Lonchura striata: one gene and its partners. The protein of the gene in region 3 interacts with the protein of the main gene of each other region in a biochemical or structural test. Links are inferred from orthologs where the notes say so. Each region holds a gene or a part of one and is shown on either strand. Other genes may lie near its edges.

What was found.
Region 1: the proteins of AGO2 (region 3) and DICER1 form a complex in vitro, tested with the Homo sapiens proteins (2 studies listed by BioGRID and IntAct). The link is inferred for Lonchura striata from reciprocal best matches to the Homo sapiens genes AGO2 and DICER1.
Region 2: the proteins of AGO2 (region 3) and TNRC6B form a complex in vitro, tested with the Homo sapiens proteins (3 studies listed by BioGRID and IntAct, with this or other methods). The link is inferred for Lonchura striata from reciprocal best matches to the Homo sapiens genes AGO2 and TNRC6B.

What each region holds. Positions count from the first base shown.
Region 1 is NC_134608.1:14,772,370-14,776,114, forward strand, and holds the start of DICER1 (endoribonuclease Dicer), read left to right. Parts: upstream 1-1,456; 5' UTR 1,457-1,682; exon of another isoform or gene 1,683-1,718; intron 1,719-2,425; exon of another isoform or gene 2,426-2,554; intron 2,555-2,601; exon of another isoform or gene 2,602-2,778; intron 2,779-3,745. UniProt on the Homo sapiens protein: Double-stranded RNA (dsRNA) endoribonuclease playing a central role in short dsRNA-mediated post-transcriptional gene silencing.
Region 2 is NC_134607.1:24,509,626-24,513,370, forward strand, and holds the start of TNRC6B (trinucleotide repeat-containing gene 6B protein), read left to right. Parts: upstream 1-1,288; 5' UTR 1,289-1,529; intron 1,530-3,745.
Region 3 is NC_134603.1:5,035,968-5,039,712, reverse strand, and holds the start of AGO2 (protein argonaute-2), read right to left. Parts: upstream 2,327-3,745; 5' UTR 2,182-2,326; coding exon 2,151-2,181; intron 1-2,150.

The DNA of each region.
Region 1 (3,745 bases), on a different chromosome or scaffold from region 3:
CTTTCCTGGCCAGAAACTAGAATGCAACACTTGGGCAGCTATTTCCTTGGTAACTGCCAGCTTGTTTCAAAGTGCGTTTCTGAACCAGGGTGTGACACGGGGTCAGAAGACATCGCGGCTGGTACCGACAGCAGGGAACAACAGAGGTCACCATTGTCGCACAGGATGGAACCTCTTCAGAGCCCATTTTAGACCCTGGAGCTGAAATGCCTGGTTTCCACCAGTGTGATTGGACAGTTCTGTAGCAGGAACAAAGACAATTCTTTGTGACAAAGTGATCTTTAATGACAGTTTTCCTCTTTTCTAACCCAAACAGAATCTTTCTTTAATCTTAGTCAATGTAAAAAACCAGAAAAGCCTCCACTCATCCCTAATTTTTTTAAAAAGGGAGATCGATGTCTCTATTTTCTTGTTGTCTAACAACAGTTACCCCATAAAGTAAATATCAGTATTTATAGTACTAAAGATATGGGGAATGCTGTTACTTGGTACATTGTTACTTATTCTTTTCCAGATTTTAATAGTTGGGTAGTGTGTCCTTTTCATCCCACAGCCTGTTTGCTTTGTTTTTATGGTTGGTTGTGTGGTTTTTGTACCAAACTCTGAATGCCAACCAGTTTGAAGTATGTGGAGATTTCAGTTGCATCTCACACTGATGAGATCATCTCACTTTAAAAATGTTTGTAAGGAATTTGTGAAATCAACATAAAAGTACATTTTTAATTTGGGGTTAAACTCTGAAGGTTAGGTCTAATTACACAAATATATGACATCAAATATCTTTTTCTTATAATAGAGAGAGGGTAGTGGGGACAAGATTGTAAGGAACAGCACAGATTGTATCCTGTGCTTTTAAATCAAAAACTCCTGTCAGCAGGCAGGCTCAAAGAGGAATGAGCTGTGGAGAAAGACACCCAATTTTATAAGAAAATAACTTCCAGAATTCTCCTGGCATTTGTCTATTTTGTTTTCTAAGTATTCTGCTTGCTTTCTCTTTGAACCTACTTGAAATGGATAAATTTCATTCTTTAACCATGGTCTGCACTAAGGAGGGTTTCTTTCTGCTCTATTTTATGTTAGAAGGAATCAAGAATGCCAATTTCCTTCATTACTTCAGCTAAAATTGGAAAAATAGACCCATATGCTCTGACAGTTCCCACTGGATAAGACTGAACAGCTGCTCTTCTTCCTCAGCTTTTGTCATGGGATATAATTATTCTTCCATCCATAAAAAAACAGAAGGATGCCCTTTCAATCCTATAAAAATACCCAGTACTGTAACACTTAACAACATAATGGCAGGCATTACAGAAGTTCTGTTCTAAACAGCAGCAGAGGTTTGTGCCAAGAAAATACTTAATTTGATAATATCCCAGGCCTCTAGATCACTTTGAATCTGAAGTAATTTTATTCAGGTTGTTTTAAATGGATCTTAGGAGTGCTCCAGTCAGCTTTATCTTTTTCATACTGATTTTGCAGGCACACTGTGTTACCATGGCAAGTCCCCGGTAGAGAGCAGACAGAAGGAGGAAGCAGGATGTCCAGCAAACAGATCTTCCATTGAAAACAGACTGCCTTCCACTCAGCTTACAAGGGCAGTGGCTGGCCAGAAGTGGCATGGCATTTATGGTCATCTTTATCAGGCACCAAGGCCGATCACCATCCAGTCCTTGTGCAAGCAGGTGAGATCGCAGGAGACTCTCACTCCGTCCTCTGGCCTAAAACAAATGTAACTCATTCACCTCTGGCTGAAGGGTTTTGGTGGTGACAAAACCTTACCCTACACCAACTGTTTAATTCCAGACATTTCAGGGCACTTCTATAAACATTTAGCAGTTAACATCTACCAGATCAATGGAGTGTTGCCAAAGTACTGGAGTGAGACCAGTGCTCCAGCCAGGCAACAATCTGCCTCATGCAGTGACAGAAGGAGATGCTGCCTTGGGAGTCCACAAAACCCATCTACCTTCAGCTGTCCCTTCTTCTTCCACCTTCTGGGCCCTGCACCAGAAAAGACTAAAGGCTCCCCAGTGGAAAAGTAGAGCCTTGCCTTTGGCAGGAAAGTGACTTCTTACAGAAATGGCCAGCTGTGCGTGGAAAGGTGGGACATTTGGCATTGTCAAAAGGGATCACCTTTTTCCCCTGCGATAGAACAAGCCCATCCCCTCAGCTCCGTGCCTCCATCACCAGTCACTGCACAACGCGCAGCGGCACAAGGAGCGAGGCCGGGCGCTCGCCCCTTCCCAAGATGGCGGGCGCCGCCCCCGCCTCAGCGCCTCGGCGCGCCCCCGCCCCAGCGCGCGAGACCCGCCCGCCGCGCGGCGGGGGAGGGGAGCGAGGGAGCGCGCGCGCACGTGAGCGCCCCGAGGCTCTCCGGCAGGCGCTGTGTCCCGCCGTGCCATTGGCCGCCTCGCGAACCTTTCACCTTTTACCCGGCTGCGGCCGCCAATCGCCGGCCTCCTCTCATAGCGTGGGGGGATGCAGAGCGTGCGGACTGCGCAGGGCGGAATTCTCGGAGCGGGGTTGCGCCGCGGGCGCTGGGCAGCCCCCGTTGGTACGGGCGGGAGGGGCGGGGGCGGCGCTCCGTTTGCGTAGCGCCGACCGTAGCTCAGGGGCAAGGGAGGGAGGGGGAGGCCGTCCCGGGCCCAGGTGAATGGAGGGACCTGACAGCTGCGGGGACTGAGGCGGCGGCGGCGGCGGGGAAATGGCGGCGGCGGGAGCACAATGAGACGCGGCCTGTAGTAGGGGGAAGCGCCGGGCTGGGTCCGGTCCGAGCAGGTAGGAGATGGCGCGCCGGGAGCTGCATGGCGGCCGAGCGCGGGTGTGTCGCGCCCGCTGGCCGCAGCTCCCGTGGTCCCGGCGCCTCGGCCAGAGGGGAGGGATGGCGGCAGCCTTCCCTCCCTCCGTCCCTCCCGGGGCCCGGGCGGTGCTGCCCCGCCTCCGCCCCAGCGGCCTCCTGGGCCCCGCGGTCGGCCTGGGCCGCTGCCCCGGCGGGGCCCGCACGGCCGGGCCGCGGCCCCGCTCGGCTTTGTCTGCGAGCGGCGCCTCCCGGGGGCTCCGGGCCCCCGGCCCTGTCAGGGAAGGCAGTAAAGGAGTTGAAACTCAGCACTGCTGATGGTAAAGGCGATATAAGAATGTCTTGGTTCTTCTTTGCTTCCTTTCCATCCTTTTCCAGGGCAAATTAAGGCAGCGTGATTAAAGGCAGACCTTTTACTGTGTGAACGTGTGTTGAAAAGTGAAAGGTTGAAAGACATACATTTTTGCACAGGGCTTTTTTGTTGTATTAGGTAATATAGATGTAGCTCGCATGAGTAGAAAATGGGGGACGATACTGATATCTGACCAAAAAAATAAAAAGGTATTTTTTGTGTGCATTATGCTTAACCAGAAATTAGTGTTCAGTAAAAGTGAGTCTCAAAGTGAATAGTGAATCTCAGTTAACTGCTAACAGTCTGAAGGATGTTTGGCACTTCAGACCCTTCAGACCAGCTTTGAGTATTTTTGATGTTGAGATTTTGGTCTTCAAGTTAGGTGGTTGGCTCAAGTGGTGAAAGTGTGTATGTTGGAAGTATGTCTTCAGTTTTCTTTCCCTTAACGTGGTAATGAAAACAGTTAACTTTGCAGACACTCAGTTTGCCCTGTGTTTTATGTGTTTTCTTTAAGCCACTCTGGATGTTCTGTTGAAATGCTGACTGCATGTGCATGTTCTGTAGGTGGGGGTGGTGCTTGTTTTAGCAAGTTCATA
Region 2 (3,745 bases), on a different chromosome or scaffold from region 3:
TGCTAATCCTTTGTGCCATGCAGGTCCTGCTTATGTACCTCCCATTGTGTCCTTCCCATTCTGCGATCCAGCAGCGCTGGCCCACACGTGCTCTGCAGCCCAGGGCTGAGGCTGCTCATCCCGGCTTTCACTCCACCTCCCGGGGAAGCGTCCCGGGCCCGCTCCTGCCTCAGCCTCGCACCGACCCCCCCACACACACCCCGCAGTTTCTGACTCTGTCCACCCCACGAATAATGGAGACCAGCGCGTGTTTGTAACGATTACATTTAGTAATGACGCCGTGGTCACCCTAAATGCCTTTTCCACAAGTGCTCCCGGTCGCGGGCCCCCGTCACGTGCGCGGCTGCTCGGGCCACGTGGGATGCGGCAGGCACGCGCCGTCACCCCGCCCACCGTGCTCCTTCCACGGAGATTGGCAGTGGAAGCAACCAATCATAGGCAGGCTCTGCATTCCCCCACCCCCAGCCCACGGTTGCTGTGTCATCCGGCGGGTGACATGGGGGGGTGGTCGTCGGTTGGCTGCGCAGGCGTCGGCTATCGGCCAATGCATGACGCGAGCTGCATGACTGACACCTATCCTGCCCAATAGCTGTCGCGCGGGGGCGGGACGAAGCGGAGATGTCGCTGGGGGCGGCGGGCAGTGTGGCGTTGGTGCCGTGTCGCGGCGCCGCTGAGCAGCTGCAGCCGCAGCCGTACGCGCTATCGCCTGTGGCCGTCACGGCGCCCCGCACATGAGTGCACAAACTGACGAAACCTCGCCTCGGCTGAGGAGGGTTCCAGCGACAGCCGCGGAGCGCGGCTCGGTGGGCGGGTCTTCGAGCCGTTACGGTGTAACGGGCACATTACTTCTCTGCTGGAGTCGGAGCGTGCGAGCCACAACCCAATCCGTAGGGCGGAAGGGCGGGACAAGTAGAAGCGGGCGAGCGAGTGCCCCATTTAAGGGGCAAATCTCGCAGCTAACTGGCAGAGGAAGAAGGGGCGGGAGCCAGTGAGAGATGTGAAGGGGGGCAACGCTAACCACTGACAGCCAGCAAATGCAGCCAATCAGTGAGCGTGTAGTGACGCGAGAACCCAATCAAAAGGGCCCGGGGGCGTTGCTCCTCTGTGATTGATGTGCGTCCTGGCTAATGGACGGAGAGATTCCCGAGACTCTTCCCAATGGGCAGCGTGAAGGGGCGGAAAGGGGAGCGGAAGGAGAAGACGAGCGGGTAGAACGACCAATCAGCGTGGGGGTCGGCGGGGCGCCGTCCAATGGGCGGTGCGAGGGGCGGTTCGGGGGCGTGTCCCGGTGTGTTTGGGTTCGTGCTCCTCGGGGGAGGGAGAGACGGCGGCGAGGAAAGTTTGGTTTTGGTTTTTTTTTTTCCCCCCCCGGTGGTGTTTTTTCGGCGGCGCCGGCGGAGCGGGGGGGGGTACGCTTTTCGCAGCTTCTTCGCCTTTTGCTTCCTGGGGTCCGTGTTTCCCGGGCGGGTGGAGCCGCCCCCGGCACTGAGAAGAACGGGGGCTCAGCGCACCGCGGCGGCGCCTCGGCGGTGAGTACGGGACGGGCGCCCCACCTCTTCCTCATCCCAGCTCCCGCCGTGGGACTCCCTGCGAGCCCTTCCCGCCCTGCGGACCCTCGCGCCGCCGCTGAGGGGCCTCTGGCGCCGGGCCGCGGTGCCGCGGGGCGGGGGAGGGACGGGGGGGCCGGGCCGGCGGGAGGGGCCCCGAGCGGCGGCGGCTCAAGGGCGCTGCCCCGGCGGCGGCGGAGCGGCCGCTGCTCCCGCCCCGAGCCCGCCGAGCGCCTGTCCCGGGGCGCAGCCGGGCGAGCGCTGCCCCCTCCTCGCCTCACGTGCGGCCGCTGTTCGCCGCGGCTGCGCCCCGGTGTCCCCCACCGCCCCCTCCTGCTCCGCACTGGGCCCCGGGGAAGAGCCGCCCTCCCGCCGGATCGCCCAGGCCGGGCAGGACGGAAACACTCCGAGGAGCCCTTGTGTGGATGGGGAATAAAAGTGCTTTAGTGTGGGGACGGAGCTGAGGTTGCGTTGGTACCGCTGCAAACCGCGCTGGATGAGTGGAACGTGATGCTGACTAAAATGTGTGTGTGTCTGTGTGCGTGTATGTGTGATGGTGGGTGGGAAGAGTGACCGTGTTCAGAGGTGTGTCCTTGAGGGGGAAAAAGTTTCCCCAGCTGTTTGTAGCAAAATGAGGGAATGTTTGTTTCTGGAGACACTTCGCTGCCTGTGGATAAGCGCTGCTTGCAGCGTGGTATCTTGAAAGCTCAGATCCGCTTTATGAAAGTGTATGTAGGAGGGATCTACTACAGCATACAGCTGAGGCTTGTTGAATAAACCGAAGACTCCACAAAGTGTTTTCCTAGCTAAAGTAGAGATGCTTACTAATGTAAACAGTACTTGTTTTTCCATGGTAACGTTTCACTAACTTCATGAACATTTATTAAAATACCTCTTTGTAAAGTTAACTTTTTTTTTTTTGTTTTTACAATCCATTAATTACTATTTTTAAATCATGATTTGCTGTAGTTCAGTTTACAACCGCTGCAAAAGGTACGACGTTGTCGCTGACGTCAACAAACGTTGTCACGTTTACAACCTCTACAAAAAATGTGACTTTTTGTGCAAAATAGTGGGTCGTTCTTTGGGGGGTTTACAGCTCTGTATTTGAAAGGTCTGTTTCTAGTGTTTTCTAGTAATATCGCTGTCCATATGAGTGGATTTTGGAAATTAGTTCCTGCTACAAATGTTGTAGAGGTGATAACTTAGGTTTATAGGGTTATTAAATATGTGCACAAGTTCAAGCAGCTGTGTAGTTAGCTTGTCCACAGTGAAATTGCTCAGCAATGCCCTCCTCTCCTGTGGTGACTCTCTAAGGGTGCAGATTCCTTGGAATGCGCGCTGTTGAAATGTGAGTGAATGCTCTCATCTGCTGCATTACCCAAGGCCCCGAGCTAAAAGTTCCAGTTTTTCTTCAGAAACCGTGGATAGTGCACGGTCTGCTGGGTCGATGTATCTCGGGGGAGGGGTTTGCAGGAGTGACTTTTCACCTGAGTTTTGCTGAGTTGCAGATGTAACTAGACAATTCCTCAGCGAAGAAATCGCCCTGCAAAAAGTTGGGGCTGGAGATGGGGGAAGGGAGCCCAGAGAGATGTTAGCTGTGTGTTAGATTTTCACCTGTGGGGTTTTGGGGCAGTAAGACACAGGCACATCTGTCTTGGTAGAGAGTAGGTGAAGTCATCATTAGACATTTATCTTGTTTAGCTATACTGCATTTGTGCTGATGGGCAAAATGTTTTTGGGATACTTACAGGGAATCACGTAAATCCTGTAATATGGAAGTACTGGTAAAAATGTAACGATAAACCAGTCAGTGTCTTCTTGATTAGGTAGACTTTTGAATTAATGCACTATTCCAGTTTCTGTATACCTGCAAATTTAGCTAGAGATCTACACTTTCATTTAAATAATAAGTTCAAACATTTGAACATAGAAGTCTTGAAAAAGCTTAATGTGCCAGAGTTTGTGTGATTGACTAGTCCAATAAAACATTTAGGTTGAGTGTGTGTCATGGCTTTGCTTGGTGATGCTTATTTCATCGTTAAAACTTGATGTTGGAGGAAGCTTTAGGAGAGAATTTTGTGTAGCTCTGAGGTATTGTATTTTACCTTAGATCTGCCTCCTATAATAGCAAGTAAGAAATTAGAAATTCTTTTTTTTGCAGAAGTAATGTATAATAAAAATCATACGTAGGTAGA
Region 3 (3,745 bases):
TCCTCTGGCAGGAGGCCAGCACCAGAGGCACCCTCCGACGGTCTCGCTGCAGAGCCCAGTTTGGACAGGGAGCTGGGAGAGCAAAGCCGCTCCTGCGCATCAGCGGCTCCGGCAGGGGATCCGGACAGAGCAGAGATGAATGGAGCCTTTCCCTGGTGTCAAGGATGTGCTGACAGACCTGGAGAGGCTGCAGCCCTCTGCTGTGTTCACAGCAGCTCTGGCTCGGTGAGGGGTTGTAAACCACACTTGTGCTCTCTCCTCCGAGCAGGATTTCACACACAGTGGGTTTGTAGTTCTCAGATTAACATGTGGCAGGGGACTTCACAGTCCCTGCTTCCAGGCTGGTTCACAGAACAGCCACGCTCTAATAAAAATCTCCAGGATGCCCTGCCTTGTGTGTGGAGTGGAGCAGGAAGCTGCCTGGGCTGCCAGAAGCCACTGAGCTGCTGAGGCTGTCCGTGGATGATTTCACAGGAAGGAAGCAGAGCCTCGCTCACCATGTGGAGAACAACTCGCAGCTCCCACCCCGGCACAGACACGGGGAAAGGGCTGAGCCACGCTGATAAACTCGGAAGTAAACAAGACACAAGATGAGCTCGGCTGGAGGCAGCAGAACAGCAGGAGCCCGAGACACACACCGGTGACAACCCACAGCCACCTAGAACTTGGTGAAAGTACAGCCGAGTCAGCAGCCCGAGGTTAAGACGTTGTTGTTCCAAGAAGGTGAAAACATTCCTTCACACCAAACGTGCATCCCTGACGGCAAACAGCAGCCACCAGCTGGGAGAACATTCCAAGTGAAAGGGAAAGTGGTAGGATCGAATAGAGAGTAAATAAAGATAAAGAGACTCCCACACATGAAACTACTCTCAGCCCATGTGCTGGTAATATTTTTAATTACCTGTCTCCTTAAGCACATTTTCAAACAAGATCACCACGAGGTGAACATAGCATCAGCCCGATGTTGAGGCACCATGAGCACCTGTAAACTGAAAGTGTACCTGTGCCTGAGCAAGGGAACCCGACACCAGAAACCACCAAAGGATTACACCTGTAGTTCTACAGTTATCGGTACTGAAATGTGAAATGTGCAATTGATGTTACACATGAAAGCAAGATCGTGAACACCAGTCTGGGGACACAGAGCTGTAGAGACCTGTCTGCCTGCTGTGCCCGGTGAGAAAGTAAAAACGGAGGATCTCTACTTCAAGAGGAAAATAATCATCCTGATTGTCTTTCCTAATTATTGCCCCTTCAGGAGAACCAAGTCAGAGGAAAAAAAGAAAAAAAAAAAAGCCAGCACCTAACAGTGGATCCCAAAATATAAATGCTTTTACCAAAGCGTCTGTAAGAGAAACACTAAAAGACATCTCAGTTACAGGTCCTGTACTTCCCTACACCAGTCCTTGCTAGATTATCCCTCTAACGGAAGAAATGTTTTGCAAAACAATTGAGAACAGTGGGATAAAATAAAGTTCCATTTATTCTGCAACTTTTCTACAAGAAAACTAGGTGCCAGTCACCCAAACACTATTGTTTCTACATAAGAATTCTCACCGCAGAAACAACCTAACACTAAAAAGGAGAAAACATTGTCTCATACGAACTGCACAAACTCGCACAGTATTAACCTGCATTTCCCCAAAGCGATACTAAACTCTCCCCGAGAGTTGCTAACCCTGCTTTGCACGTCCACCTTTCCTTTGCTCCCACGCAGAGCGAGCCTGAGGACACCTCACGCTGCCCCTCGCCTCCCCCAGCCCTCCCGGCATGCGGACGCTCCCCGACCTCCAGAGCACAACTATCGCAGCGCGGCCTCCGAGGAACACGCGGCCAGCCGGGAATCCCAGCATGGAGCCGGGAGAGAGGAAATGGAGACCCCGGTCCGCAGCGGGAGCTGCTCCGGCCTCGGGGCCCGGCGGAGGGAGGGGGAGCGGGGCAGGGAAGGCGACCCTCCCCTCAGAGGCGCCTCCGGACACGCGGCCCGGCCCGAGGCGGCGGCGGCGCCCTGACCCTCCTTCCTCCCCGGCCAGCGCGGCCGCCGCTCCAGCCAGGCCCGAGCCGGGGGGAGCGAGGCGCTCCCGGGGCTCCCCAGGGACACGGACCGGGAAAGCCGCTCCGGGGGGAAACAAACCCGGGCGAAAGCTCACCGGGTCCGGCGGAGGGGGCTCCCGGGTACATGTCTCCGTGTGTGCGGCGGCGGAGGCGGCGGCGGCTCCAGGGGAGGGCACGGGGGAGGGAGCGAGCCCGAGCCCCGGTTACGCTGTCGGGGGAAGGGGAGGAGGAGGAGGAAGGGGAGGGGGGAGGAAAAGAAAAGGGGAGAGGAGGAAAAAAAAAAAAAAAAAAAAAAAAAAAGAAAAAAAAAAAGAGGGAGGAGGAGGAGGGCCGGGAATCCAGGTTACTCGTCGGCACTGAGGAGCGGGGAGGGGAGGAGGAGGAGCCGCGGGTCACGGGGAAGGAGCGCTCCGCCCCCCGGCCGGGCGGGCGGGAACGGCCGCGGCAGCGGGACGGGATCGGAGCGGCGCCGAGCCGAGGGGCCCCGCTCCCCGCTGCGGCCCCCTGTCCCTGCCTGCAGCCCCGCTCCCCGCTGCGGCACCCTGTCCCCGCTGCAGCCCCGCTCCCTGCTGCAGACCCCTGTCCCTGCCTGCAGCCCCTTGTCCCAGCTGCAGCCCCTTATCCCAGCTGCAGCCCCTTGTCCCAGCTGCAGCCCCTTATCCCAGCTGCAGCCCCCTGTCCCTGCCTGCAGCCCCCTCTCCTCGCTGCAGCCCCTTGTCCCAGCTGCAGCCCCGCTCCCCGCTGCGGCACCCTGTCCCTGCCTGCAGCCCCTGTCCCTGCCTGCAGCCCCTGTCCCTGCCTGCAGCCCCTGTCCCTGCCTGCAGCCCCTTATCCCTGCTGCAGCCCCCTCTCCCCGCTGCAGCCCCCTGTCCCTGCCTGCAGCCCCTTGTCCCAGCTGCAGCCCCTTGTCCCCGCCGCAGCCCCCTGTCCCTGCCTGCAGCCCCCTGTCCCCGCCGCAGCCCCCTGTCCCCGCCTGCAGTCCCCGCCCGAGCTCTGCCCGCGGAGTCACAGCATCAGCCAGGCTGGAAAAGTTCTCGGAGATCACCGAGTCCAGCCTGTGACCGGACATCACCACGTCCACCGGACCAGAGCACGGAGTGCCATGTCCACTCTTTATCCTTAAACACTTCCAGGGATGGTGACTCCGCCACCACCCTGGGCAGCCCATTCCAATGTTTAATCACCCTTGCTGTGGAGAAGCTCCTCTTAATGCCCAGCCTAAACCTCCCCCGGCACAGTTTAAGACTATGTCCTGTCATCCTGTGGCTTTCAGTGAGACCTTGGAAAATGACTTTGTGCCTCTAGCACTTTCTCCGATACCTCTCCCTGTTACAAGTGTGAGAGGTATGCTGGAGTTGTATCAATAGTACACATACTGCTGGATCTTGAATTAAAATTAGATGTGTTTGTTTATATTCTTTTATTCCTCCTGTTGCTCTGAAAACCTCAGCTCAGTAACCTCATGGATTCCCACATCCACTTGTAGTCATATCTATGAAACCCAGCTGTGGTGGGGTTGCCTTATTGTCTTTGTCAACCTGATAATGTCTGGTACTGCACACATGTAATGTTTAGTACAACCAGATAATGTACTTGAGAAAACAAACTAGAAAGGATATGAAAGAGCCAAAGTGCTGATCAGTATGATACACTGAGACACTGGAGATATCCCTGGGGGAATTTCAAAGAC